Elephas maximus indicus: one gene and its partners. The protein of the gene in region 1 purifies or fractionates together with the protein of each later gene. This does not show direct contact. Links are inferred from orthologs where the notes say so. Each region holds a gene or a part of one and is shown on either strand. Other genes may lie near its edges. The genes, in order: CLCN5, TMEM9 and TMEM9B.

The links.
Region 2: the proteins of CLCN5 (region 1) and TMEM9 purify together in Homo sapiens (co-immunoprecipitation; 3 studies listed by BioGRID and IntAct, with this or other methods). This does not show direct contact. The link is inferred for Elephas maximus indicus from reciprocal best matches to the Homo sapiens genes CLCN5 and TMEM9.
Region 3: the proteins of CLCN5 (region 1) and TMEM9B purify together in Homo sapiens (co-immunoprecipitation; 3 studies listed by BioGRID and IntAct, counting the BioPlex papers as one, with this or other methods). This does not show direct contact. The link is inferred for Elephas maximus indicus from reciprocal best matches to the Homo sapiens genes CLCN5 and TMEM9B.

Annotation. Positions count from the first base shown.
Region 1 is NC_064846.1:121,757,440-121,764,382, forward strand, and holds the start of CLCN5 (H(+)/Cl(-) exchange transporter 5), read right to left. Parts: upstream 3,065-6,943; 5' UTR 2,798-3,064; intron 2,191-2,797; 5' UTR 2,088-2,190; intron 745-2,087; 5' UTR 611-744; coding exon 595-610; intron 1-594. UniProt on the Homo sapiens protein: Proton-coupled chloride transporter. Functions as antiport system and exchanges chloride ions against protons. Important for normal acidification of the endosome lumen. May play an important role in renal tubular function.
Region 2 is NC_064836.1:9,656,111-9,663,294, forward strand, and holds the start of TMEM9 (proton-transporting V-type ATPase complex assembly regulator TMEM9), read right to left. Parts: upstream 3,089-7,184; 5' UTR 2,996-3,088; intron 2,922-2,995; exon of another isoform or gene 2,734-2,921; intron 2,507-2,733; 5' UTR 2,470-2,506; coding exon 2,404-2,469; intron 1,183-2,403; coding exon 1,091-1,182; intron 1-1,090. UniProt on the Homo sapiens protein: Transmembrane protein that binds to and facilitates the assembly of lysosomal proton-transporting V-type ATPase (v-ATPase), resulting in enhanced lysosomal acidification and trafficking.
Region 3 is NC_064825.1:64,171,879-64,179,759, forward strand, and holds the start of TMEM9B (transmembrane protein 9B), read right to left. Parts: upstream 3,005-7,881; 5' UTR 2,884-3,004; coding exon 2,779-2,883; intron 1-2,778. UniProt on the Homo sapiens protein: Enhances production of pro-inflammatory cytokines induced by TNF, IL1B, and TLR ligands. Has a role in TNF activation of both the NF-kappaB and MAPK pathways.

The DNA of each region.
Region 1 (6,943 bases):
AATTTTCTATGTGGTAGCAATTCACAGGTTCACAAGAGATGTAACTCCACCACCCAAGATGTTGCTGACCTTTGCTCTCGGGTACTTCACATTATTAAAACAGGCATTTTTTTCCTCCATCACCAAATATAAACCTTGTAATACTAAATATGCTTTTACAAGCTGCATTAAGTCCCAGGAAAGTTTTTATTGAGAAGAGGAAGCCAGGGAGACACTGACATCTGTCTACCCACCTTCGAGAATCCTATGATAGAAATTTTCAGGAAACCAAAGAAAAGCACAAATATAAAAAATATCCTGTTTCCTCATATATAACCCCCACAAGCACATGTTTAAATGAAAGGGAGTTCTTTTAAAATGCTTCTGGCACTAAATTTTCCTGCTACCTCCCTTCACTCCTCCACCTCTACTTTAAAATAATTTGAGCTTCTAGCTAGCAGCAGCTACTTTTAAGCTAATGTGTTTTGTCCTTGCCAAGACAAAGGGTTAAATTAAAGAAATAGCTGGCTAGCTGCCACTGGCTTGGGGGATGGGTAAGACTGGAGGATAAGAAGGAAGAAAAACCAGTTAGAGGAATAAGTGCTAATTTCTTACCCTGCCACATGGCCATCTGATACTATCTTCTCCCACACTGGGGTCACAGTCTCAGGGTTTCCTAGAGCACTCCAGTTTTGTAGAGAGTCTTGAATAGGGTGTAGATGGAAGGTGTGGTCCTGCTTTCTGGAAAATGCTAGAACCCCAACCCTGAAAATGTGAAAAGAAAAATGAATACATAAATGCAAAAATACATTTCACCTCCTTGAAAATTATCTCCTACCTCTCTCTGAATCTCTCTTTTAAAGATACGCAGACACAGGCAGTGTCACATTTCCCCCTAAGCAGCAAGGAGTTGCTGAAGAAAGAGAAAATCCGGAGACCTAGAGTCAATTAATTTTGCTACTCAGTGCTGTACAATTCTGCATGAATCAATGGATCTTGAGTAAATGGGTTTCAGAATCTCAAAGGCTGGGTGGTTGGATGAGATAACAGTTAAAGTCTTTCCCATCTTGATTTCCCATCTTGAAGTTCCACGCTTTTGGGAATGAAAAAAAAAAAAAAACCAAACCCAGTGCCATCGAGTCGATTCCGACTCATAGCGACCCTACAGAACTGAGTAGAACTGACCCACAGAGTTTCCAAGGAACGCCTGGCAGATTCGAACTGCCAAGCCTTTGGTTAGTAGCGGTAGCACTTAACCACTACGCCTCCAGGGTTTCCTTTGGGAATGAAGAGAAGAATAATATCCAACCCCTAAATACCCAACGTTACATTAAAAATCAGTAGAAAGGAGAGCAAATGTTGTGAATACCAGTTTAAGTAAAACCAAATTAATTCAGCTAATTCCTATTTTTAAAACTTCAAATCCGGTCTTAGGACAATACTCTTTGCAAAGACAGGAAAGGAGCTAAGGATGAGAGAAAAAGTGAGATGTCTGACTACTTGATTCAGAGGTTTAATATACTGAGCACTTTGCCTGTCCATTTAAACAAGTTCTTAGTCAATAAATTGGTCTTCCTTATTTAGCATACAAGCCAATCTGCTTTTTCTAAGGAAAAGTCCTCACCTTTTGACCTGGTGAACATCAAAGTAGGTTGTTATTTCCTTAGCTTTTATACAATCAAGACCTCCATCCCCAAAGTGAAACCGCTAAAACACAAACACTGAAGACCAACACTAACTTGAGAATCATCATTTTGGCCTTCTTTAATGACTTTTTCTTTTAAGGATTAATGTACACACTAGTCCCAAAATACCGATAGAGAAAAAGACAACGAAAGGTTCAGGAAGTCCAGAAAAACTGCGAACTCATATAATATATTTCCAGGATGAATTCAACAGGGAAAAAGCGCCCTGGTGACTTATCTGGAACCTGGGACAGTTTGTTTTGGTTTGCCTTCCCCCCACCCCCCACCCCCCACCCCCATTATATGTGCAGTTAAGAAGTACTGATCTGAGCCTAATGGGGCAAGGCGAAAATTTAACATCTCTGAGGTTAAACCTGGGTAGTTGCTAATAAATGCATGAAGTTTATACAAAGTGGATCTTACTGGCTTTTTTGGGCTCCAAATTTCTGGATTTCCCTTGCTTACTCGAAGGAGCTTACACGAGTGTACACGCAACTTCTCTGTAACTCCAGGAAACTGATTTGCTCTGAAATGTTAATAAAGGTAAACGCGCGTCAACGTAAAGGCAAAGCTTTCCCTTTAAGGGTAAAGGAGCTCAAGCGCAAGCCTCGAAAGTTTGGAGAGAACCATCCACTCGCGTTGAGAAACTGAAAACGTGCAGCAACTACTTTTCTGTGAGTTTGGACTCAACTTCGCTAAGACCCACACAAACCTGCAAGTCCAGCACAGGAGAGAGAAAAATGGGCCTTGACAGAGCTTTACCAGCAAAAGCCATCCTGCGCCGGTACTGGAAAGGGGACATATGCAACTAACTACTCACATTCAAAACCTGGGCGGGCTTGGCGCCGCTCCGCGAGGAACCTTCACTCAGGCAGCTCATGGACCCTTGCTCGGAGAGCAGGGTTGGGCTCCCTGGAAGATCCCGCCACACACTGGCTAGAACTAGCCTGGCTAACTCCTCCAAGTGCCAGGCAACGGCGGCTGAGTACGGGAATCACCTATCTCCAGGAGCTGAGCTGGCAGGGGAGCACTCCCCCGGAGTCGCTGCGCTCATAGGGTGCTCAGGAGGTGGGCCAGGGGCCAGCGGCGCCGCGAAGAACCTTTTGGGGAAGGGACAGCCCTTTTGTCTTTACCTGTCGCTGAGTCCGTCGCCCGCGGGCAGTGCACTCAGTTCGCTCTGAAGTCCAGGACACCAAGTTGAGCTAGCGCTCCACGTAGCCTGCAGAGCTTCATTCACACAGCCCAGCCAGGGAGGAGGGGGAACAGAGCGGGCGCGCGGCTCATGTGACAGGAGCCTCTCAAGTAGGGGCTCAGCACCGCCGACATCTGCGCGCGTGCGCGCTGAAGCCGGCCAGCTCCCTGCACCTCGGCAAAGGCAGGGACCTGCACTAGGCCAACAGGGGCGGAGAAAACTGCCGAGACAGTGTTGGGCGGAGTTTCAGCTAGCGCAGCCGCAGTAGGCGGCCCTGCTCGCTGCCATATTTAACGCGGACTGGGCGGGCCCTAACCCAGTGCTGGGCGTATCACTTGTGTAAAAAAAAGAAATGTTGCATTATGTTTCCATGTTTTCGTCTGCTGTACTTTCTTTGCTTTTGTCCTTAGAATAAAATTGTTTATCCTGAACTTCTGCACCAGAGTAGTTAATTAGCTCACGTATTTTGAACCTCTTATTATTTCAGGCACTGCTCTAATCCTTTTACTTTTTTTTTTTACCTCATTTAAAGCTCACAATAACCCGAAGGGGTTAAAAAAAAAAAAAAACCGGTGCCGTCAGGTCAATTCTGACTCATAGCGACCCTATAAGACAGTAGAATTGCCTTATGGGGATTCCAAGGCTGTAAATCGTTAAGGAAGCACACTGCCACATCTGTCTCCCCTGAAGCAGCCCATAGGTTTCAACTATGGACCTTTGAGTTGGCTGGTGCTAGAACTGCTGACCTTCTGGTCGCATAACCACTGCGACACCAAGGCTCCTTACCCCAAGGGGTATATACTATTGTTTTTCCATTTTTTGTTCATAAGAAAACAGAAACAGAAAGATTAACTTGTCTGAGATCACATATTGGTGGTAGTAATGCTTGTAGCAACCAATTTTATCCTTACAGCAACACTGGAAAATCCACACCGCAGTTATCAGTATTATCTTCATTTAAATAATTATAAAACTAAGTGTCTTAGTTATCTAGTGCTGGTATAACAGAAATACAAGTGGATGGCTTTAACAAACAGAAATTTATCCCAGCACAGTCTAGGAGGCTATAAATCTGAATTCAGGGCACAAGCTCCAGCAGAAGGCTTTCTCCCCCTGTCGGTTCTGGGGGAAGGTCCTTGTCATCAATCTTCCTCTGATCTAGGAGTTTCTCAATGCAGGGACCCTGGGTCCAAAGGAGACCTCTGCTCTGGTTCTTCTTTCTTCGTAGCTGAAGGCCCTTCTTCCTCTCTGCTCAATTCTCTCTTTTATATCTCAAAAGACACAAGATATAACCCAATCCTGTAGACTGAGTCCTACCTCATTAAGATAACTGCCTCTAATCCTGCCTCATTAACATCATAGAGGTTAGAATTTACAACACATAGGGTAATCACATCAGATTACAAAATGGTGGACAGCCACACAATACTGAGGATGGTGGCCTAGCCACACGTTTTTGGAGGACAAAATTCAATCCATAACAGTGAGGCTCAGAAAAGCAAAAGTCACAGGATTAGTAAACAGTAGAACTGGGATTCCAACCTGGGTCTTTTGACTCCAAAGCCCTGCGCCCTAGGGTTGGAAAAAACAGTTCCTCGTTTGACAGAAGAGAAAACTTAGGCCAAAGGAGGTGCGTTGAGTCGGTTAAAATGATCCCACCAATTAGTTATTGGCAGAACTGAGACTGGAATCTGTATAATCAATCCAGATAATCATACTAGAATTCAAGTATTCTAATTCAGAGTCTACTGCAGTGAACATTTTTGACTGCCTACTTTGTATTAGCTAAGTGCTAAGGGATACAGAACCTGTATCCTAACCCAATCAGCTAAAGGCCACCAAGGACAAATTTGTAGTGGGACAAAGTCAAGTTTTTTCACCCATTGCAACGAGGAAAGGGTGCTCTCGTGGCACAGTGGTTAAGAGCTCAGCTGCTAACTGAAAGGTTGGCAGTTCAAGCCCGCCAGCTGCTCCGTGTGAGAAAGATATGGCAGTGTGCTTCCATAAAGATTACAGCCTTGGAAACCCTATGGGGCAGTTCTATCCTATTCTATAGGGTCGCTGAGTTGGAATCAACTGGACGGTAAAGGGGGCAATGAGGGAAGACTGCACACTAGAGGAACATCTCACATCTTTGAGCATTTTTGGGCATCTCACCAAAGAAGAGTCATTATAGGATTTGGGAGAAGGGTGGAGTTTAGGTGAATTTTCAACAAAGCAATGTGTTTTGTAAGCTCAGAGCAAAGCAGGGTTGTGTGTAAAGGGATCAACATCAGGACTGGACTGCAAAGTGAGCCCAGAGTCCTGTTTCCTTGAGAATCACAAAGTAAAGATAGATGTGGAATGTTCTGTCCAGTTACCCCTTATCTGAAGCTCTACACCTGGTTTAAAATCAAGGCTGCTTTTCTTTGTCAAAGAAACTTAGATCCTCCAGACAAATGTGGGATGTTTTATTCTTACTAATACGATTTCAAGCAGCAAAGTTTCTGATAGTCTATGATTTTAGAGAACAAAGCTTCTCAGTGAATGAAAAAGCAATAATCACTCAAATAAAGGGGTTGTTATCATTTTACAGCTGCAGCTTGTCTTTGCGAGAAATATTGTTCCCTGTCAAATTTGTAGCTGCCTTTATCTATGTCTCTTCTCCCAGCCTGATGAATGACCGGGTGAATTTTTACTCAGTCCAAGCTAATCTTTACCTTCTCACCTGGTAACATTTAGTTCTTGCTTTGTGTGTGTAGTGGGGGTGAGGGGGTTGACACAAGTAACTAAAAAGAAACCAGGACAGGTTGTGCTGAGTCCATTGATAAACATAAACTCAAGTGGAGATAATGCATTGTACAAAGGTGTACAGGCAGGAAATCATATCTGAGGGCCTGAGAAGTCTTCTGTGACTGAAGCTTAGGGTAGGAAAATACAGGGGAGTTGTGGAAGATATACCCAGAAGATAAACTGAGACCCAATTATGGAAGATACTAAATGTTGGACTGAGATTTGTACTTAATTCAGAAAGTGATTGAGAAAGACCTAAGGTTTTTGATCAGGGCAATCCCTTTACTGGAATACTTCTTTAAGAAGGTGTATCTGAGTTTATGTTAATGGGGGAGGAACAACTCAGAAAAGGAGGGTGAGAATGGCTGTACAGCTCAAAGAATGTAATCAATGTCACTGAATTGCACATATACAAACTGTTGAATTGGTATATGTTTTGCTATGTATATTCTGAACAACAACAACAACAAAATAAATAGGAAAAAAAGGTGTGTCTGGGGTGACTCTTCAAGAAGAGGTTTGTTTGATTGCTTGCTTTTTTTCCTATCCCAGGGTAGGGGAAACTGGAGCTTCCGTCAGATTGAGCAGGAAGATCCACTCATGAGAGAGAAATTGAAGGGGCAAGAAGAGGAGGTAATTAATGGAGTAAAATGTTAGGGGAAATAGAGACAAAATACAAAATATAAGCTAACCTTAGAAAAGACACCTCTAGAGGTGGAGCCAAAATGGCAGAATAGACAGATGCTTCCAGCAAGCCCTTTTTACAACAAAGATACGAAAAAACAAGTGAAACGAGTATATTTATGACAAGCTAGGAACCCTGAGGATCAAAGGCAAGCTTAGAAAACGAACTGAGGGGCAGAGGGAGGAAGAGACAGTTCAAAAGTGGGACCTGAATCACAGGGAGTTCTCAGGCACCATTCCCGGTAGCAGCTGCAGCGGGCTGGTACTACCCTTCGGGGGCAGTTTCCTCAGGGAGAAGCAGCCAGCCACACAGCCTACTCATACCTCAGGAACCAGAGAAGAACGGTGCTCTTGGCAAAAGCTAAGTACTTGCATATATTTTACTGCCCCCCCACCCCGCCCGCCAAAGCCAGATTCAGTGGCTGACTTCCCTGGGCCTGAGATAGGCCCTGTTGAACGCCTAAAGCCATCCTCCTGTCCTTGGAGAAGGAATAAATTTGCAATTCGGAGAAAAGATACGTTGCCAACTCCACTAACCAGGGGAGCTCACTACAGAAGTGGCTCCTGTCCAGGCGTAAATGGTCCGTGGACATTGAGTACCTTTCCCCTCTGCATGGACACGTGTGGGCCA
Region 2 (7,184 bases), on another chromosome or scaffold:
AGAAATCCAGTCAGTTTCAAAGTTCCCAAATGCTGCTCTGGGTTAACGGCATCATGATCATCTAAGCAGCGTGAAGAAAGGTCACTGCCCCTCATCCCGTGTTTACTGAGTCTCAATCGTGGGGCGGGGGACAGGGAGTGGGAGAAGGTGCTGGGAACTTGAATTTCCCCAAAGCTCACCTGATGATCCTAATTTACAACCAAGTATAGGAAACATGGCCCAGACTGCCATCCGATGTTCATCTCTTCTACTGTGCCTGATCAAGGTGTCATCCCATCTGTGCTCAGATCCCTCCAAGGAGGATCCGGAAACAGCCTGGATTACAAACCCTCCCTCCACTCACATTTAAATTTGCCTGAAGGCTTCAAGCCCTGGCCCCAAATCTACACATTGAACATAACTGAGTCCTACAAAATCCTCCACTCCCCTCGTACTCCCATCCGCCACAGCATGCCAGCCCTCCTCACAGTCTCTTCAGCCACTCAGGGGTCCCCAAGCCCTCCAGGCTATTTCTAGCTCCTTAAATAATTCCTCTAGGACATGCTGAAACTCCCACCTCCCAAGCTTCGTCTCCCTTCTCTGAGTGAATTCTTATTTCTTCATCTTTTAAAGTAAGGCACCCAGAAATTAATTAAGACTTCAGTAGTTTTTAGTATAATTTAGATTCTCTCTCTGGGGTTCAGTCTCTGCAATTATACAAAGGGACCAATACCCATCCCATTTACCTTACAAGGGTGTTGAGAGACTGGCACAAAATCACTCACATAACAGGGCTTTGAAAAAGTCCATGGCCATAACACTTACCTCGCCCAACTACTCTATTTCCATTCTGCATACATCAGTCAAGACCCCAATTCAAAGCAAAACAATACAGTTCACTCTTCTGACGAGGAACCCCTCAGCTGGAATTCAAGACATCTGGGTCCTGTTTCCAACTGGCTGTGTATCTCTGGACAAAATATTCCTTTCTCAGGCTCTCTATAGAAATGGGAGAGCAAGCTTATCCTCCAGGAGTTCCAAGGATCCTAGTAAACACCCATAACCTGAACTAGGCTGAGCAGCCAAGGGGCCAGCCCACGTAACGCCTTACCAGTCCTTCTGTGACACATTCTGGTTGTAAATGTTCCCACTGAGGTTTCTATAGGGTGGACAGATGCATTTGCACCGAATATCTTCAGAACTCTGGAAGAAAAAACACAGCCGAGGTAGACGGGCCCCAGGGTTCAGTTCTAGCAAGGCTTCTGACTCTGAGCTCCCTGTTCTGTATGTACGCTTCTGATCTTTCTCCACCTCCAATGACCTCTGTAGGAAAGGTGCTACATCACAGGGCCCTCAAGACAGAAACTGTCCAACCGGCAAATGAGACTCACACAAAGCTGTTGAGAACAGTCATTTCCTAAGTGGGATGCTTGGGACCCTATGTCCTGGGTCCCGCATGTCTGTGTGCACCTCTGCCCACCTCCCACCCTCATTCCATCTCCAACTTCCTAGGCTAGGAGTGTTGGAAGGAAAGGGCTGGGGGTTAGTAAGGAAATGTGGGTTTTTCCACGGGAATATTCAAGTAGCCTCACTTAAAGTTCTTTCCCTCTGGAATGGATCAGAGACAGCACCACAATTATTATCATTCCAATCAAGAATTCCCCAGACGGAATGCAAACAAACCCTCAAACTCAACCTTACTTCAAAGCCTTCAAATCTCAAATTCCGTGGACCCACCCAGACCCAGCTCTAAATCTCTTGCCCTTACAGAAGGGAAGTTACTCAGGTGTCCCACGGCTAGTGGGTCGCCCTTTACTAACAGAAACTTCCATCTGTATAGGGATTTACACTTATAACACATTTTTACATTACGTAATTTGACTCTTCCTAAGTAGTGCATATTATGTCGTTGTTAGTTGCTGTTGAGTCGATTGTGACTCCTGGTGACCCCATGTGCGCAGAGTAGAACTGCTCCATTGGGTTTTCAAAGCTGCAACCTTTCAGAAGCAGATCTCCAGGCCTGTCTTCTGGGGCACCACTGGGTGCGTTCCAACCACCAGCTAACCTTTCAGCTAGTAGTTGAGCTGAGGATTTATCTGTTTACCGCCACCCAGAGACCCCCATAGATATTATAACCACGCCCATTTTACACAGGAGTTTGCCGTGTGTGTGGAGAACAACTTCCCAGACACGAACTCCCTTGCTGGAATTCCGCCTCCAGCCTGTCTGATCCAGCACCATCCTGGCCGCCGACCTCTCCCCAGCCCACTCTCACTGGCTCTACCCTTAGGAAGTCCTGCAGCCCCGAGCCTAAGAGAACACGCCCTCAAAAGCACGGCCCACAGAAGAGTGAGGGGCAGGGTCTGAGCAGCAGCTACCTCTGGGGAAGCCCTGTACATAGGGCCGTCGTGCATGGGTGCTCACCTTGCTGGCTTGAGCTGGGAGTACCAGCAAACAGCCGACTACGGCCACGAAAGATAGGAGCTTCATGCTTACTCAGGCTCGCTGGGCCAGTAAGACGGGACACCTGGAAAAGAGACAGAGTCGGGGAGGAGGAAGGCACACCACAGCCAGATGTAGGAATGGGGTTGGTGGCTGGGCTCCCGGATTCCAGGGCTACCCGAGCCCGGTCCCCAAATGCTGCTTTCTCCCCCCACCCCACCCCCGCCAAGGCTCCGCCTCTCCATTGTCCACCCGGTAAGGCCTGCAAAGGGCGGCCCCAGGGGTCCGGGCCCCCAGGGGACACGGCCTAACCGGGCCTAGAGTTGCTCCGACAGGGCCCGACTCTGCCCCTCGCACAGCGCGCCCCAACGCCCTCCGCCATCTCCACCTCCGCCCGTCCCGGCAGCTCCTCCCCACGTAGGCCCGACGGGAACTTTGGGGGCAGAGTCTGGGAGCCCTGATTCGACGCCGAACCCCACTGCCCACCGCGTCCAGGGATCTCGGGCCGGGCTGGGACCCCCCGCCGGGACTCCCGCGACCCCCCATAACAACCCCCTACACGCCAGCCGCGTACCTCCGGGCCCAGCCACGGCCGCACCGGACTCTGCAGGCCCGCCCTCTTCCGGCTTCTATTGGCTGCCAGAGCAGCCGCTCAGTCTAACCTCGCCGTCGCCAAGGCAACAAGTCCCACCTTCGCCAGGGCGAGAAGGCTCGCTCAAGGGAGAGAGAGACAATTCTCAAACTCAATCAAATAAGAAAAGGAACGTCAGCCTTCTGAACTAGAAATGCTGAAGGGTTTTACCTTTGTGGCCTGTAAAACCCGTACTACAGTGCTTGTTCGTCTTGCTATTTTAAGGAGAAAGCATTTTATAAACTATAAAATAATAACAACAACAATAATGATGGTAAATGATGAGGTCTTCGTCCTCATTCACGATTTGGAAGTGTTCAGGGATCCACACCTTTGCTACAGAGGACATTACCCAGCATCTCTCACTCACACACACACACACAAACACACACACGCACGCACGCACGCACACACACACACACACACCACCCTCCCAACCCCTGAGGAAAAGGAGGAAACCAGGGGTGGCAATGGGCACAACAGTCTCCGTGCTGATATGCCAGGCCAGGCGTGTGCTGCCCCGGAAAAGATATCTCCTCTCTCTGGGCCTCAGTTTCCTTAGGAATTGGTTGGATACTATTATGGACTGAACTGTGTCTCCCAGAAATGTGTGTCAACTTGGCTAGGCCATGATTCCCAGTATTGTGTGATTGTTCTCCATTTTGTGATCTGATGTAATTTTCGTATGAGTTTTAAGTCCTAATCTCTGCCTGTGGTTATGAGTTAGTAATGAGACAAGATTAGGTTATGTTAAAGGGAATCAGGATGGGATGCAACACCCTTACTCAGATCACAGCCCTGACAGGATGTAAGGGGAGTTTCTCTGAGGTGTGGCCTGCATCACCTATTATCTCACAAGAGATAAAAGGAGACACAAGTGAGGAGAGAGAGAGGGATCTCTCACTACGAAGCAAGAAGCTCCGGGACACAAGTGCATCCTTTGGATCAGGGGTCCCTGCACTGAGAAGCTCCTAGACCAGGCACATCAATGACAAGGACCCTCCCCCAGAGCCAAAAGAGAGAGAGAGAAAACCTTCCCTTGGAGCTATTGTTGTTGTTAGATGCTGTCAAGTTGGTTCTGACTCATAGCAACACTATGTGCAACAGAACGAAACACTGCCCAGTTCCATGCCAACTCTCATAATTTTGTTATGCTTGAGTCCATTGTTGCAGCCACTGTGTCAATCCACCTCATTGAGGGTCTTCCTCTTTTTTTTGCTGACCCTCTACTTTGCCAAGCTTAATATCCTTCTCCAGGGATATTAAGCTTGGTCCCTCCTGATAACAAGTCCAAAGTATGTGACACGAAGCCTTGCCACTCTTGCATCTGAGGAGCATTCTGGCTGTACTTCTTCCAAGATGGATTTGTTCATTCTTTTGCAGTTAATGGTATATTCAATATTTTTGGCCAAAACCATAATTCAAAGGCATTGATTCTTCCTCGGTTTTCCTTAATCATTGTCCAGTTTTCTCATGCATGAGGCTATTGAAAACACCATGATTTAGGTCAGGCACGCCTTAGTCCTTAAAGTGACATCTTTGGTTTTTAAAACTTTAAAGATGTTTTTTGCAGTAGATTTGCCCAATGCAATGCATTGTTTGATTTCTTGACTGCTACTTCCCTGGGCATTGATTGTGGATCCAAGTAAAATGAAATCCTCGACAACTTCAGTCTTTTCTCCGTTTATCATGGTATTGCTTATTGGCCCAGTTGTGAGGATTTTTGTTTTCTTTATGTTGAGGTATAATACATACTGAAGGCTGTGGTCTTTGGTCTTCATCGGTAAGTGCTTCAAGTTCTCTTTCAGCAAGCAAGGTTGTGTCATCTGCATATCACAGGTTGTTGTTGAGTCTTCCTCCAATCCTGATGCCCTGTTCTTCATATAGTCCAGCTTCTCTGATTATTCGCTCAGCATACAGATTGAATAAGTATGCAGAAAGGGTACGATCCTGACACACACCTTTCCTGGCTTTAAACCATGCGGTATTCCCTTGTTCTGTTCAGACAACTGGCTCTTGGCCTATGTATAGGTTCCTCATGAGCACAATTGAAGCGTTCTGGAATTTCCATTCTTTGCAATGTTATTCATAATTTATCAGGATCCACACAGTTGAATGCCTTTGCGTAGTCAATAAAACACAGGTAAAAATCCTTCTGGCATTCTTTGCTTTCAGCCAGGATCCATCTGACACCAGCAATGATGTCTCCTGTTCCACGTCCTCTTCTGAATCTGGCTTGAATTTCTGGCAGTTCTCTGCTGATGTACAGCTGCATCTGCTTTTGGATAATCTTTAGCAAAATTTTACTTGCATGTGATATTAATGATATTGTTTGATAATTTCCACATTCTGTTGAATCACCTTTCTTTGGCATAGGCATAAGTATCTCTTCCAGTTGGTTGGCCAGTTAGCGATCTTCCAAATTTCTTGACATAAATGAGTGAGCACTTAGAGCGATGCATCCATTTGTTCAAACATCTCAGTTGGTATTCCATCAATTTCTGAAGCCTTGATTTTCGCCAATGTCTTCAGAGCAGCTTGGACTTCTTCCTTAGTATCATCAGTTCTTAATCATATGCTACCTCCTGAAATGATTGAATGTCGACCAATTCTTTTTGGTACAATGACTCCGTGTATTCCTTCCACCTTCTTTTAATGCTTCCTGCGTCGTTCAGTATTTTGCCCCTAGAATCCTTCAATAATTGCAACTCAAGGCTGGAATTTTTTCTTCAGTTCTTTCAGCTTGAGAAACACTGAGCATGTTCTTCCATTTGGTTTTCTAACTCTAGGTCTTTGCACACGTTGTTATATTTTACTTTGTCTTCTTGAGCCACCCTTTGAAATCTTCTGTTCGACACTTTTACTTCATCCTTTCTTCTGTTTGCTTTAGCTACTTCACATTAAAGAGCAAGTTCCAAATTGTCTTCTGATATCCATTTTGGTCTTTCCTTTCTTTCTTGTCTTTTTAATGACCTCTTGCTTTCTTCATGTATGATGTCCTCAATGTCATTCCACAACTCGTCTGGTGTCGGTCATTAGTGTTCAACGCATCAAATCTCTTCCTGAGATGGTCTCTAAATTCAGGTGGGATAGACTCAAGATCATACTCTGGTTCTAGTGGACTCGTTCTAATTTTCTCCAGCTTCAACCTGAACTTTCGTATGAGCAACTGATTGTCTGTTTCACAGTCAGCCCCAGCCTCGTTCTGACTGATGATGCTGAGATTTTCCATTGTCTCTTTCCACAGATGTAGTCGATTTGTTTCCTGTGTATTTATCCAGTGAGGTCCACATGTGTAGTTGGCATTCATGTTGTTGAAAAAACATATTTGCAATGAAGAAGTTGTTGGTCTTGCAAAATTCTATCATGCAATCTCCGGCATCATTTCTATCACCAAGACCATATTTTCTAACTACTGATCTTTCTTTTTTGTTTCCAATTTCTGGTGCATTCCAATCATCAATAATTATCAATGCATCTTGATTGCATGTTCGATCAATTTCAGACTACAGAAATTGGTAAAAAATCTTCCATTTCTTCATCTTTGGCCTTGGTGGTTGGTGTGTACATTTGAAATATAGTCGTATTATTAATAGTTGTACAGTCATAGGACTATATTTTAAATAATAGTCTTTCTTGTAGGTGTATGGATATTATCCTATCACTGACAGCATTGTACTTCAGGATGGATCTTGAAGTATTATTTTTAATGATGAATGCAACAGCATTCCTCTTCAATTTGTCATTCATGGCATAGTAGACCGTATGATTGTCTGATTCAAAATGGCCAGTACCAGTCCATTTCATCTCACTACTGTCCCCTGGATCTGGCGCACTGAATTTGGACTTCTGCCCTCCTAAACTTGCTATGAGTCAGAATTGACTTGTGGCAACGGTTTGGTTTTCAGTTTTAAACTGTGAGAGAATAAATTTCTCTTTCTTGAAGGCAGCCACTTGTAGTATTTCTGGTACAGCAGCATTAGATAACTAAGACAGATACTAAGGTAACTTTCAGCTTTGATATTTTGGGATTCCTGAGGGGCAGATTAACCTGTTGCTGTGGGGTCGAATCTGACTCATACTGACCCTATATAGGGCAGAATAGAATTGTCCCATAGGGTTTCCAAGACTG
Region 3 (7,881 bases), on another chromosome or scaffold:
GTAGCTTGATTCTAGCTGAGATCAGTATGGTTTACCCTCTCCAGCAAACTTTGCTTCTAATTCCTGATACACAGTGTCTTAGCTTCTTAGTGCTGCTATAACAGAAATACCACAAGGGGGTGGCTTTAACAAACAGAAATTTACTTTCTCACAGTTTAGGCTCAAAGTCTGAATTCAGGGCACCAGTGCAGGGAAGGCTTTCTCTCTCTGTCAGCTCTGGGGGAAGGTCCTTGTCTCTTTTCAATTTCTGTTCCTAGGATGTTTCCCCCATTTGTGTTTCCTTGCTTCTATGTCTAATCTGTTCTTTTATATCTCAAAAGTGATCAGTTTAAGGCATACCGTCATGCATATGGCCTCATTAACATAACAAAGAAAACCTTATTCCCAAATGAGATTATATCCACAGGTATAGGGGTTATGATTTACAACATATTTTGGGGGGACACAGCTGAATCCATAACAAACAGGGAGGAGGGCAACTACCAACAAAGCAAGTTTCAAGAGGTGGAAGAAGAGGTGACTAAATATCTGGGTAGAGGGTGCGGGAGATGCTTCCTCAGCAAAGAGGAATCTATCTGAGATGGCAGTGGCTCTTCAGTCCCCAAAACACTGCTCCTATATACAGTGGTCTGTCTGGCAGAGATGTTCACAATTCATTTGGCAACCACTTAGTGAGCATTTGCTCTGTACCACACCTTGTGCTCTTAAAGGGGATTCAGATAAGGGTAAAACGTGGTTCCTGCCCTTAATTAGGACACACCCTAGTGAAACAGACTGATAAGTACATGATTACAATTCACTGCATAAAGTAACGGAGATATGCAGAAGGTATCAACAATGTTTTGAAAGTCAGGAGACTTGCTGCTGCTGGTGTCTGGTTGGAGACAGGAAAGGTTTCAGAAAGAATGCTTCATCAAAAATACCTGCCTGCCTGTAGCCTGTCTTTCCCCACCCCTGTATTCAAAGATGGAGCCCTGGTGGCACAGTGGTTAAAACTCGGCTGCTAACCAAAAGGCCAGCAGTTCAGATCTACCAGCCCCTCCTTGGAAACCCTATGGGGCAGTTGTACTCTGTCCTGCAGGGTCGCTATGAGTCGGAATGACTCAACAGCAGCATTTTTTTTTTTTTAAATATTCAAAGATGTTATTGATTAAAGCTCCTATTTTTAAAAATGCATTGTTTGCCCATCATGTTACGCAGGTTTCTCCTGTTTTTCCTGATAACAAGCTAGCTCATCAAGGAATGTTTTTTGTTTCTATAATGATCTCGAATCCCATAAGGTATAAGTCACTATTATGCTTTCAAAATACATACGCATAAGCACTCATAATATGAATTTGGAAATAGAAATATGTGTACCTTTGTGAGGCTCTCTATCGTTAACTATAAACCAAGAAGATGTTATTTAGAAAATTTCTGAACTTAAACAATCTAATTTCTAACCTAGAAGAAAAATGTGACATTCGGCTAATCTCTATCCCTGAAGAAATGACATAACACACTAATCTTTGACATCACATTGGCCCTTATTGTGTGAGGCAAAGGTGGAATTTCATAAATAAACCCTGAATTTCTGCTCACTCACCGAGAAAAGGCAGAGGTAAACACCTAGAGCCCACTGAAACTCTGCCTGCTACCACCAACCTCAGACCCTAGCTATGAGGGACCTCCGCTGAGTTCAAGCCGTGGTTAAGCCTTCTTCCCAAGACCTCTCATTAAAGGTAAAAGCCTGAAGCATAAAGATTTGGACTCTAACCTTTGAATTAACATTGTAATTGTTAATTCTGATTCTCTGGTTCTAAATGAATGTTGTAAGGTCTTGTGTGCCTTGCCATGACTACCCTACAACAAATTAAATGAGTTTATGGGTGACAAACCTGAGTATCTCTCTATTAACTTTCTAAGATTAAAGCCTTACATGACAAAGAGGAAGCACAAACTTGTATGGGACCAGGGCAGATATGGCGGTTAGGGGCACCATGGGAACCAGCTAGCAGCATGAGGGGACTAGAAGGAACAAGACACAGAACAGGGAAGGGCCATAATAGCACCTCTGTAGTTTGGTTCCTCCTTTGCCCAATAAATTACCAGGAAGAGGGAAGACAAGAAAGGGCCCAGGAAGTCCTGAAAGGAGTGTGGTGAGGATATTAAGCCGGAGAGAGATACTCGGTAGGTCCTTTTGGGAGGGAAAGCTGCCAGTAGGTGCAAGTTTCTACAATGGAAAGGGAATCTGTTCAGGGATGAGTTGAGATGAAAGTCAGTCGGTAAGAGAGCAGACTTCTGTGAGATGGGGGCTGCCTGTCATTTTGGCTTGGGGGTTTGGAGACCCGTGAATCTGGAGGAGGGTGGGTAGTCTCTCAGTGCTTAAGGGTGGAATGTAGGGTTGCTCTTACAGATGGAAAGGTTGTAAAGTTTGAGGTGGGTGCTGTCAGGGCTGGGATGGGAAATGTCAGTGGGGTGGGGGAGTTGCTGCTCGGGCTGTGAGGCATCGTCACGGCTGGGTAGAGAGGAGGGGTAGACTATCAAGGCTGCAGAGAGGGGAGTATTGTCTGGGCTGGGGCGGGGGTAGTGACAGTCAGACCGTCAAGGCTGGAGGGCAAGAGTGGTGCTACCAGGCTTACGGGTGGGGGTTTGCCGAGGCTATGAAGCTACGGGTCGGGCTGTCAGTGCTGGGGGAGGTAGGAGGTTGGGAGCAGGCTGACAGGCTCTGTTTTCGCAAGGCAAGGCCGAAGGCAGGGGAGGAGCTGCTGTCAGGAGCAAAGGCTGGGCGGGACTCACCTTGGCGGCGTCTGACAGCTGCACGAGGAGCAGAACCGAGAGCGCCAGGCACGACAGGCTGAGCATGGAGCCAAGGCGAAAGAGGCCTCCCCACAGGGCCGCCATCGCGGACAGGCCGAGCTGTCCCCACAGCCTGGAGCCCCGAGACCTGCTCCCGGCTCAGGCTGGGGATCTCCGGCACCTCCGCCCGCACTTCCGTCTAGGCCACCTCGTCACGGGCCGCGCCGGGTCAGCCGCAAAAAGCATCCGCCCCGGAAACGGTTCCCGGTGCTAAGGGACCGGAGGCTGCGCGGTCCGGGCGCCTGGGCCGGCCAACGCTCGGGCCCCAGAACGGAAAGAGGCCTCTTCGGGGTGGCAGCCTCGGCCCGGCGGGGTTTTGAGGCGCTTGGATATCTTTCCCGGGCGCAGCAGCGACAGGAGCTAGTGGAGCCGCCAGTGTGCTGTACCGCTCTCCAGCAATCCATGCGGAGCCGGGGCTGTTGCCAGCCTCCGGAGACCCGGGTGAGCTCGCGTCCCAGGATTTGCCGGGAGCGCCGCCCATCCCAGCCGGCGCAGGCAGGGCGCGAGCTAGGAGTGGGGACGGGCCCGGGACTGGCCGAGGCATCCCCTCGGCGAAGCTCGCCCCCAGTCGGGGGTCGGGGGTCGTCTCCCGGGCCTTGGGTACGAGCCCGCAGCTGGGCGCCTCCCCGACACGGCTCCTGCCGGCTTTCCGCGTCTCCGAGAGATGCCGTAGCGAGTTTGATCTCGGCTTGAGGCTCCCGGCCCGCCTCCTGATGGGAGCTGCTGCAGGAACTGGGCCACAGCGGCGGGGCTGGGCCAGGCCGGGCTCCGGAAGGTGTGGAGTTGGCGAAAGAACCGCCCTAGCAGCCTCCTTCGCCAAGGACTCCAGGAGGTGGGGAATCGTGGCGCTACGCCCCGGCGAGGCAGTGCCTATTCGGGGCGGCTGGCTCCTACATCGAAGCTGGGGGGACGCTGACCGATCTTCCCGGGGCGGGTCCGGAGTACTCTGCAGATGGCCGTGTCTCCCACTGAAGTATTTTTCGGTTAGTGGAAGTAGTGGAAAGATGCAGGGCTCATCAGCCACCACCGATTTGCTGAATGACCTTGGGCAAATAACTTCCCCTCGCTTGTCTGTAATGTGAGGGGATTAAACGCCATCTGTGGGTTTGAAATTCTGCTCCCATGGAATACCCGTTTTTCTGTCTGTAAACAAGTTTTAAAGGTAGCCTTTTCCGAGTTCGTGGAAATGTTTTAATTAACGGACACGATTTTCTCCATTTTTTTCTCCCATGTGATTTTTGTTGATACTAGAATCTGACACCTTCTTGTGTTGTTGCATTAAATGTATTTAGCCCTTTTCAGTCTCAAATGGCAAGTGGTGCCCAGCCCCAACCAGAACCAGAGCGGCAGGACTGAATGATCTCTCACCACGGCCATTTCAGGGTGCTCTGTGAACATGCTGAAACATTAGTGAATTAATCAGGCTTTTGTAGTGGGTGTTCTGCTGGCCAGGGGACAGTCTGGAGACACCCAGGGTCAAATATGTCTGACTGTGAGGCACTGGATCTATGACTGCTAAAAGCTAATTCAGCGGCAAATTTGTGATGAGTTGATTTCATCAGGATCAATTTCCAGGTTTGGCATCTGAAGGGAGTGCTCATTCTTTGGCTGAAACCTCATAAGGCTTCTCTTCCTTCTTCAAAATTGTTCTCAGGGCTTTGAATGGGAGTATACAGGCTTAGAGGAAATATATAGTAATACCCTGGTCTGATGGGCCTCAGCTGTTTAAAGGAGAAGTGCCAACTACACTCAGCCGGTGCTGTCCAATACGGTAACCCCTAGCCACAGGTGCCGTTTGAGCACGTGCACATGGCTAGCCTGAATTGAGATGTGCTGTAAGTGCAAAATATACATTGAATTTCAGACTTTGTACAAAAAAAAAAAAAAATGCAAAATATCCCAATTGTGTAATAATTACGGTCGAAGTGATATTTTAGGTATATTGTGTTAAATAAAATATATTATTAAAATAATTTCACTTGTTTCTTTTTACTTTTTAAGTGTAGGCAGCACCATTCTAGAATATAGAATGTGGCTGCCATGAGAGGGGTATGACTGAAAAATGACTGCCTAGATGGAGACTGAATGAAGACTCAGGTCAGAGTTAGGACTGAGGGGACAAGGAAAAACTGACACAGCTACAGCGGAGGGTTTGGGGGACGTATATGTCTGCCAACAAGTGAATATAGTTTTAGGGGATTCAATAGAAGTGAAGGAGTCAGTTCTTATTCTGCACTGCCCATACCTAGATAGCGCTTACTTTTCCTTTTCCTCAGGAGTCTTCTAAGCCAGAAAGCATTCCTTGACTTAAATGCACTCCCTTCCGGGTTTATGCAGTTCTCTTTCCTAACTTACCCCATTATAGTAACATTGTGTCTCCATATCTGCCTCTATACTCCCAGCCTCCCCTCCTCTTTGAGAGCAGGGACCTTGTCTTATTTATCTTCGTACCTACAGAGACTGGGTGTCGTGGATTAAATTATGTCCCCCCCCCCGCCCAAAATGTGTATCAACTTGATTAAGCCATATGTGGTTGTCCTCCATTTTGTGATTTTATGTTAAGAGAGTTAGGGTGGGATTATAATACCACTCTTACTCGGATCATCTCCCTGATCCAATGTAAAGGGAATTTCCCCGAGATGTACCCTGCTCCACCTTTTCTCTCTCAAGAGATAAAAGGACAGGGAAGCAAGCAGAGAGCTGGGGACCTCATATCACCCAGAAAGCAGCACCAGGAGCAGAGCACGTCCTTTGGACATGGGGTGCCTGCACCTGAGAAACTCCTCAACCAGGGGAAGATTGAGGACAAGGACCTTCCTCCAGAGCTGACAGAAAGCCTTCCCCTGGATTTGGACTTGTAACCTACTAAACTATGAGAGAATAAATTTCTCTTTGTTAAAGCCACCCACTGGTGGTATTTCTATTATGGCAGCACTAGAGGCCTAAGACGCTGGGACAGAGTAAAAACCAATAAATGTTTGTGGAGACCAGGGAAAAGCAAAAGGAGGATGAGGGAGGCTCCTCTGGTCAGCCTGAGAGAAAAGTATCAGGTACCTTTCTGGCCACTAGAGGGCAATGCTGAAATGCCCAAAGGAGAGGTACAGATGGTAGGACCCGGGCACTATATTAGGCAGGAGAGGGGAGATTTCTGACCTAAGGTCTTCCTAGACCTTCAGGTCACATGAGGGTTGTTCTGTTTACAGGAAGGACTGGCCCCTTAGTGAGAACCTGCTCCTTTCCCCTTCCCTTTCTATGCTTCCCTGTGACTAGGTTTCCCTACTCCATTCCTCTTTAAGGAGTGACACAGGCCCAAGTGCATCCTCCCACCTAACCTAGGCTCTCTTCTTTGTGAGGCCTGAAAAATTTTCTGGGGGGGGATGGTTGAGAGAAGAGGAGCCTTCTCTAAATTTAAGCATGGAAGTCAGAAGGTTAGGAAGCAGAAGTGGCAATTTATGTATCTGGGACAAATGGATGACAAGGACCAAGGCTATGCCAGCTCTAGATAGTCTGCAGCCCCATTATCCTCTTTCCCTTCCAGTGGTCAAACAGCGCTCTGGACACCCCTTTCTTTCTTATTCTTCCACTCCATCTTTTCTGGTCTTCCCAGCACTTGCTCAGGCCATACCAGCCTGGAAGTACAAATGGAGTCATGCACAGCATCAATGATGATTTCCCTGGATTGTGCCTCCACTGGTTAGGACAGGATTCACATACACACACATACCCTGAAGTACTTCTGAGCATACCCTGGAAACGTCTGATAATGAGCCCTCTTGTTTACCATGTGCACCTGCTAGGATGCTCCCTCTTACTTGCCCCCTTTAGTGAGATCTGCCCTCTACTACATATGAAGCCACATAAGTGTATCATGCCACTGCTGTACCTTGCTAGTGCCCACCATAATAACAGCAATGCACAGGGCCATAATATTATCTCTGTTCCTTGAGCTGCTGGTCCCACTACTGCTGGCAAGTTACTGGAGCCCCTAAATAACAAAGCAACACAAGGTCCATACCAAACTAGGGAGAATTTTTAGTTTCTTTCAGAAGGGTATTAAACTATCATTTGTTTCCCAGTGTCTTACAATACTTATGAAAAGGGCCTGAGGGTTATGAACATGAATTTAAAATAAGACTAGTCACCCGGTTCCTGCACAGATATAGGCAATTAGGTAAATAGCTAGCTTTAGCTAAAGTGGTTTTGTGAAGTATGACAAGAGAAGGTAATCTGTGTTAAAATTACATGTATGTGAATGATGATGATGACTGAATGTGGAATTTAAGTTGGTTAAGAAGAGAGGAAGGAACCCTGGTAGTGCAATGGTTAAGTGCTTGGCTGTTAACTGAAAGGTTGGGGATTTGAAACCACCAGCCACTCTTTGGAGCAAAGACCTGGCGATCTGCTCCTGTAAAGATTACATCCTGGGAAACCCTACAGGGCAGTTTTATTCTGTCCTATAGGATCACTAAAAGTCAGAATCAACTTGACAGCACAGGAGGGACAAGAGGAACTCAGAGAAGTGAGGAACAATGAAACAGTAGTAGTCAAATGATTATTGGAGTCATGTTACTAGGAGATAGCTGGAAAGATAGAAGGTGGTGCTCGGACAGTGAGATACATTAAGCTGAGATTATGGCTAGGTTAGTTTTTGGTAATAAATAACATCTAAGGTAGGACCATGGGAGTAAATGGCTGAGAATGGTAGAGGATAACTGATATTCAAGAAACCAATATATCAGGGTATTAAAAGGTTCGGCCATGTATGTAATTAAATGGCAAGAGTTAAATCAGTAGCAGTGTTGGAGAGAGTGAAGTGAGCCAGGAGCTAAAATTTTATTGAGAAATGAAAGGGAATGACCCAAGGGTCTATAGATAATAGCAACAATGAAGGGAAGTAGGGGATATAATTTGATGGCATGAGACTGAAAGCTGGGGAGTTTTATAGGAAGATGGAGGGAGAAAATTCTGGAAGCAGTAACAAGAAATAAGGAGAACATCTACCCAACCTCTAGAACCAATAATAGATTATGGGTGAAAAGAAAA